Linked DNA regions of Canis lupus familiaris. The protein of the gene in region 1 purifies or fractionates together with the protein of each later gene. This does not show direct contact. Links are inferred from orthologs where the notes say so. Each region holds a gene or a part of one and is shown on either strand. Other genes may lie near its edges.

The links.
Region 2: the proteins of HIPK2 (region 1) and DCAF7 purify together in Homo sapiens (affinity purification with western blotting; 3 studies listed by BioGRID and IntAct, with this or other methods). This does not show direct contact. The link is inferred for Canis lupus familiaris from reciprocal best matches to the Homo sapiens genes HIPK2 and DCAF7.

What each region holds. Positions count from the first base shown.
Region 1 is NC_049237.1:9,022,805-9,026,212, forward strand, and holds the end of HIPK2 (homeodomain-interacting protein kinase 2), read left to right. Parts: intron 1-983; coding exon 984-1,141; intron 1,142-2,306; coding exon 2,307-2,777; downstream 2,778-3,408.
Region 2 is NC_049230.1:15,339,711-15,343,527, reverse strand, and holds part of DCAF7 (DDB1- and CUL4-associated factor 7), read left to right. Parts: intron 1-854; coding exon 855-1,064; intron 1,065-2,653; coding exon 2,654-2,771; intron 2,772-3,817. UniProt on the Homo sapiens protein: Involved in craniofacial development. Acts upstream of the EDN1 pathway and is required for formation of the upper jaw equivalent, the palatoquadrate. The activity required for EDN1 pathway function differs between the first and second arches.

The DNA.
Region 1 (3,408 bases):
GCCACCCAGACCCTCTACAGGTTTGGCTTTTGCACAGCTCCGTACACCAGGGCCTGGCTGGTTCCTCTCATGGGGCATGTGTTGCTAATTCAGGTCCCCAAGCACCCCCCGCCATGGGGTTCTAATTTAGTGGGTGGGATGGGAGGACCCTCAAGTGCCAATGCACGGTCAGATTGGGGTCTCTGTTAGGACTCACTGCCTCCATCCCCAGTGGGGCAGCTCTCTCTTTCCTACAGCTGCTGCCTGTAGGGCAGGGAGGTTTCTCTTGGGCTTCAGTGTGCACCCCAATCTCCCATCCCCTCCCCAAGTTTCTGGTTTCCCAAACTTTTGCTCTTCATGTTTCTCTCCCTGAGCAATTAATCGGTGTTCTCTCTGACTGGCCCCAGCCATCTCCTCTTTGACTTTGATTTCATCATCCTGGGATTTGTAATGGAATTGATCCAACACAGTTACATCAAGGGCCTGCTCATTGTGATGTATGCCTCATTCATACTTAGCATCCTCTACCCCAGCCTTGCCCGTTTTACACTTGCAGCCATGGGTGATTTTTTTCCTCAGGACATGTGTGGTTCTTTTTCTGAGGCCCCATTATCCATACTCTGCTTATGTGTCACTGTGTCTCTGGATCGCAGCAGACAACCCCACTGCAGCTCTGGATGGGGCACGAAGAGCTACAGAGAGAGACCTTTCCTCCTTTCCTCCGTTAGCGCCTCCTTGTGCTTTTCAGTGTCACCAGACAGGAATTCTAAGTCCAACAAGCTGGGACTTGCTCCCAATCAGTGAGACAAGCCAAAGCCCAGTGGCCAGTCCAGAGTCAGAGCCGACTCTTAGCTGGATCTGGGGAGACGAGGCTAATTTGATTGGCTGGTCTTGGGAACACACTCCTTCCTAGGAGACCACTGTTGTTTCCCCTAGGGGCAGGGTCTTCTGGGCAGCAGGGGGACCTCTGAGCCATCTGTGACCCCTTATTCTTTCCCACACAGTCAACGCCAGTCAGCACTCGTCCTACAAGTCCAAGTCCTCCAGCAACGTGACCTCCACCAGCGGTCACTCTTCAGGGAGCTCGTCCGGAGCCATCGCCTACCGGCAGCAGCGGCCAGGACCGCATTTCCAGCAGCAGCAGCCTCTCAATCTCAGCCAGGTGAGTGCCGCCTGACCTGGCCTCAGCGGCCTGCAAACCACGCACATCACCGAGGCCCCTCCGTGCCTCCACTTCCCAGCGGGTGGCTGTAGGTGGGCCCACACCCACCCCGGCTCACAGGGCCGGGGACCTCTGAGTTCTTCCCACTGTGGGTAAAACACTGTGTCCTGGCCCCGTCAGACCAGGACACCAGCAGAGTACTGGCAGGCTGACAGAGTTGGGCTAGTGGGTCTTTGTGATGAGGGAGGCCAGGTCACACACGGGGAACCCCAAACCCAGGGCAAGCGAGGATTTGGAGCAGGTGGGTGGCCTTTCGGTAGAATTATAAATGAAGGCAGAGTCTCCTCGGTAGAGCTGGCCTGTGTGTAAAGGGTCTACGTCAGGTCCGAATTGCAGAGTGGACTCAGGGGCCTGTTTCCTCAGAAGCCATAGAGGGGACGTCAGTGGGGGAGCTTATGTTCAGAAACCCCTCGTCTGAAGTGGTGCACTTGGTAAACTGAGACCGCATCTCTGTGTCGTCACAACTCTGGTTCTCGGGAAGAGAGGGCTCTTTCATTTGTACCAATATAACTTCAAACAGCAAAGTGTCCAAGAGCCTAGGACTTTAGAGAACAAGATCTCACAGTGAGGGAGAAAGCAGTTGTCACTCAAAGAGTGGCTCCTCTGACACTTCATAGCTGCAGTAGGCCGTTTGGAGACATCCTGTTACCTCCTCAAACTGGCTTAATCTGTGTGTCATCCAGCTGGGGGCTCGGGACAGGGTTCCTTCTTCAGTCCAGGCTAATGTTGCTTTCCCAGCCTATAGGGGAGGCATCTTCCCTCACTCCTGTGGCTTCTGGCCTCCTCCTCTCCTCCCCTCCCCCTCCTCCCCCTCCTCCCCCCCCCTCCTCCCCCTCCTTCCCACTCCCCTGGCCCTCCTCCCCCCACCCCCAACCCCACCTTCCTCTCTTACCCCTTCTCACTTCTCTCTTTCCCTCCTCCCCCTCCTCCCTCCTACCCCTTACCCCCTCACTGTCCTCCCCCTCCTTACTTCTCTCTCTTCTCCTCCTCTCCCTCCTCCCTCACCCTTCTCCCTCCTTCCTCACCTCTCCTCTTCCTCCCTTTCCTCCCCTCCCACGTGTCTGGCCCCCAATGCAGCCCTCTCCTGGTGCTTCTCCTTCTCCAGGCTCAGCAGCACATCACCGCAGAGCGCGCCGGGAGCCACCGCCGGCAGCAGGCCTACATCACTCCCACGATGGCTCAGGCCCCGTACTCCTTCCCGCACAACAGCCCCAGCCACGGCACTGTGCACCCCCACCTGGCCGCCGCTGCTGCAGCAGCCCACCTCCCTGCCCAGCCCCACCTCTACACCTACACGGCGCCCGCGGCCTTGGGCTCCACCGGCACCGTGGCCCACCTGGTGGCCTCCCAAGGCTCAGCGCGTCACACCGTGCAGCACACTGCCTACCCGGCCAGCATCGTCCACCAGGTCCCCGTGAGCATGGGCCCCCGGGTCCTGCCCTCACCCACCATCCACCCGAGTCAGTATCCAGCCCAGTTTGCCCACCAGACCTACATCAGCGCCTCTCCAGCCTCCACCGTCTACACTGGATACCCACTGAGCCCCGCCAAGGTCAACCAGTACCCTTACATATAAACACTGGAAGGGGAGGGGAGGGGAGGGGAGGGAGGAGGGGCAGCAGGGAGGAGGGTGGAGGGGTGAGGTGGGAGCCGAGCTTTTTATACTGAAGACGCGGCACACAAACAATGCAATGGGGCAGGGTGGGCAGGGAGCAAGGGGCAGGGACGGACACCAAGAAAACTTGAACCAGGAGGTGGGGGGACCTTAGAGCAGAGAAGACATTTTAAAAAAGAAGGGATTGAGGAGGGGGAAATCTATGCTTTTTATTTTAAAAAAGAAAAAGGAAAAAAAAAGAAAACGTCGGTAAACAAAAAACACAGCTCACGAACCCATTCTGCACCAAACTGGAAAGGAGAAGAAGAGAGCGACAGAAGATTCCTGGAAGTTGGGGGGTGGGGCCCCAGTTTTTGAAGAACTTTATCTATGAACTTCTCAAAGATTATTTTCATATGGCGGCAAGTGACATTTAAGAATTTGCTGTCGGGGACACCTGATGTGGAAATCCAATAGATTTTTAATTATGGAACATATTAGGGATTTTTCCAGAACTCTAAAGGGTCAGCAGCCCTCTAGAAGGTCAGGCCGTGGCCTGAGGAGGCTGATATTTGGGGGTTGGTATGGGGTTGGCCAAACCCAGTTCTGGCTC
Region 2 (3,817 bases), on another chromosome or scaffold:
CAGAAAGCAGCTGTTACTATCCTTGACCCCGGGAGATCCTTGGCTTTGGTTTTTCCGTTTTTCTCTTTCTCCACTCTGGTCTGGCTTTGTCTGATTCTCTTCATCCCTTTCTTTCTCTGAAGCTCTCTGCCTGTGTTGTCTCATAGATATTAGTGGTGTGGAATGTTTGCAGCAAGTAATAAATGCAAAAAACAATGATTCAAAACCTAAATTGATTCACTTATGAATACAGACCAACTAGGTGAAGAAATAGAACATGTCCTAGGGACAAGAGAGTGATACTAAACCTCTTTGTGAAGACAGGAACATCTGAGTCTCCCATGATTCAAAACTGCTATTGCTTCTTTCTTGAAAACGAGTCTCAGGTCTGGGTTTCACAGCAGAACCAGCTTGACTGCTATTAAGTGGCCACAGGAGGGCTGCTCCCGCCTCTCAAATTAGTGGCCTTAACTTGGTCACGGATCTGTCTCTGATCACTCACAAATGAAAGCCACAAAGGCCCAGGAAATGAATGTCTCAATTCTATAGTGTTGCAGAAGATACCCACTGGCTGACAGCATGCAGAATACTTGCTCTGACTTGTGCCCTGCTACTCAGCAGGATATATGCTCTTTGTCTTATCACAAGGGTTGGAGGCAAAAGGCTCAGAAAGCAGGAATGCAGGAAGAAGCCATCTCGTTTGTATAGCAAAATGATCTTCGTCCTTTGGAAAGTCACTGATGTTAGAGCTCTTAGGCGCCAGGACTCACAGATACTGTGAGGGGGTTTAGGTGGACTAGGGATAGTAGAGTTCCCTGCTCCAGGAAAGGAAGGTCACGGATCTGAACTGACAGAAGCTTCTTATTCACCAACAGGTCTATGATATTGCATTTAGTCGGGCTGGGGGTGGCAGGGACATGTTTGCCTCTGTGGGCGCTGATGGCTCGGTGCGGATGTTTGACCTCCGCCATCTAGAACACAGCACCATCATTTATGAAGACCCACAGCATCACCCACTGCTTCGCCTCTGCTGGAACAAGCAGGACCCTAACTACCTGGCCACTATGGCCATGGATGGAATGGAGGTGAGTACCCTGCTTCAGGCTGACATAGGCCTGGCCACCTAACTGTGGCATTACTTAGTATAGCTTAGTATAGAGTGGTTCTCCACTGGTGGCAGTTTTCTCTCTGGATTTTTGGAAATGTCTGGGGACATTGCCCTAATTTGTGGGCAGGGCGCAGTGCTACCGGTGTCTTGTGGGCAGATGCCAGGGGTACTGCTAAACATCCTGCAGTACATACAAGAATCATCCCTTCCCCACCCACCCCCCACCCCCCGCAAAGAATTATCAGACCTGGGGTGCCTAGGTGGCTCAGTCTGTTAAGCGTCTGTCTGCCTTTGGCTCAAGTCATGATCCCAGCCCCACATGGGGCTCCTTGTTCACTTGGGAGTCTGCTTCTCCTTCCCCCTGCTTGTGTGCTCTCTCTCTATCTCTCTCTATATCAAATAAATTAATAAAACCTTTAGAAAAGAATTATCAGACCCAAAATGTCAATAGTGCTAAGATTGAGAAAGCCTGATCTAAAACAAGGACTGTGTGTTAAGAACTTTTAATACTTGGAGCATTGGAGGTGGAGCCATGAAAATCAATGTCTAAAAAGTAAACCAAATCATTATGTGCTTACGGTGCTGAGTAAAGAAATAGGCAGTTTTCCCCTTCTCTAGTCTGGACAGATTGTTCCAACTTTAGCAAACAGACATAGAAATGACAACTCTTCATTGCCTGTTAACTTAATAGAAGCAGTGAAGTGTGGGTGGAGATGATGCAGTGATTAACTTTTGGTGAAGCTGGTACCTCAGACTTCTTACATTTCAGTTTCTACTTTGGGGGTTGTGGGGAGAGGCCTCTCACTCTGTCCAGCAAGCTCGCATGGAATCCATAGTACACGCACCCAATAGGACTTGGTGGATTATCCAAATTCATGTTACCTACTCCTGCTTCACTCCTTCCTTATCAGTCTGAAGGCCTTATGTTGCTTAACATATAGACTATATATATATTTTTAAAATTTTTATTTATTTATGATAGTCACACAGAGAGAGAGAGAGAGAGAGAGAGAGAGGCAGAGACATAGGCAGAGGGAGAAGTAGGCTCCATGCACCGGGAGCCCGACGTGGGATTCGATCCCGGGTCTCCAGGATCGCGCCCTGGGCCAAAGGCAGGCGCTAAACCGCTGCGCCACCCAGGGATCCCACATATAGACTATAAACTGCCTGTTTTTGTTTTCTTTTTCCTCAATCCTAAGACTGCTTTTGGGACCAAGACCCTCTGCCTCTAATGGTCTTTATTTTTTTTTTTTAATTTTTATTTATTTATGATAGTCACAGAGAGAGAGAGAGAGAGAGAGAGAGAGAGAGGCAGAGACACAGGCAGAGGGAGAAGCAGGCTCCATGCACCGGGAGCCCGATGTGGGATTCGATCCCGGGTCTCCAGGATCGCGCCCTGGGCCAAAGGCAGGCGCCAAACCGCTGCGCCACCCAGGGATCCCTCTAATGGTCTTTAAATCCACAAATGAATATGTTATACTTTAGGATCTTTTTTTCTTGTAATGTCTCGTTTGTTTTCCTGTTATACCCTGAGGTTCTTGGGCCTTTTACTTGTTATTTCTGCAGGTAGTGATTCTGGATGTCCGAGTTCCCTGCACACCTGTTGCCAGGTTGAACAACCACCGAGCGTGTGTCAATGGCATTGCTTGGGCCCCGCACTCGTCCTGCCACATCTGTACTGCAGGTAATCGGTGGCAGGGGTGGGGTGGGGGTGGGGAGGAGCCAGGGGGAGGACAGGGGTAGGAGATCTTCCTCTTGTCTCTTTAGAGCTATAATCGTTACTATTTACTAAGAGTGGTTTGAGAGATTTAACGAAGTAGCTCAGTTGAGAGCCTCCCTTCACCTGTGAAATTGAAGTAGTCCAAATTTCCAGATGATCTCATACCTCAGTGATTTCAGGGCTTTTGCCATATACTGTTGGCATCATGTATCAGTTAAAGGCTGTGCCTCCCTGAAATCTAGTTGGCACAGAGGACCCAGCTCCAGGACTGTGGAGGAGGGGGCAGTCACTCTTAGATGGAACAGAATCTTTGGGAATAGTCAAAGTTGACAGCCCCCTGGGGAGACTGGACATGGTGCAGTAGGCTCTGAGTTTGTTGAAGGCCCTGTGTGGCTTGATCAGTGCTGTGTGACTTGTCATCCCCACCTCACCATTTGAATACCAAAAAGAATACCCCTCAAAAATATGCTGGCTGTCAATGTGCTTGTATTCTAGGAATAATACAAATCTGTGATTAAACATTAAAATAATACTGAGGTATATAAAATAGGAAGGTGAAGGTCCTCTTCTCTCCTTCCTGTCCTATTTCCACCCCAGTCTCACTCTCCATAGGTATGTCTCCTTCAAGAACTTTCTATGTGGGCCTATGCCCACATATGCTCCCAGTACAAATGTCTGCCCCTTTATTTCACACAGACGGGATTCCGCTCTCACCCCAGAATATTCTCCTCATGTTTTCATTTTCACTGCCTCAGGTTTCTTTCTAACATACTTTTTCCCCTCCTCGCTAATCAGTAGCATCCTCATTTCCTTGTTCATGATGGAGCCAAAAGAGCAGAGTAGTTTGTTGGTTTTCTGCTATTTCATATTAATTTGAAAGGCATGAAACTTTTGTGTTTTGGACCCTCTGCTCACTCCTGTATGTCACTTAGGGCCTTCTGCCTTCCTCTGCACTTCAGGTTGTGGTCCGACCCCTTCATTATTGCCTCTTTTCCCACCAGGGGTATGGG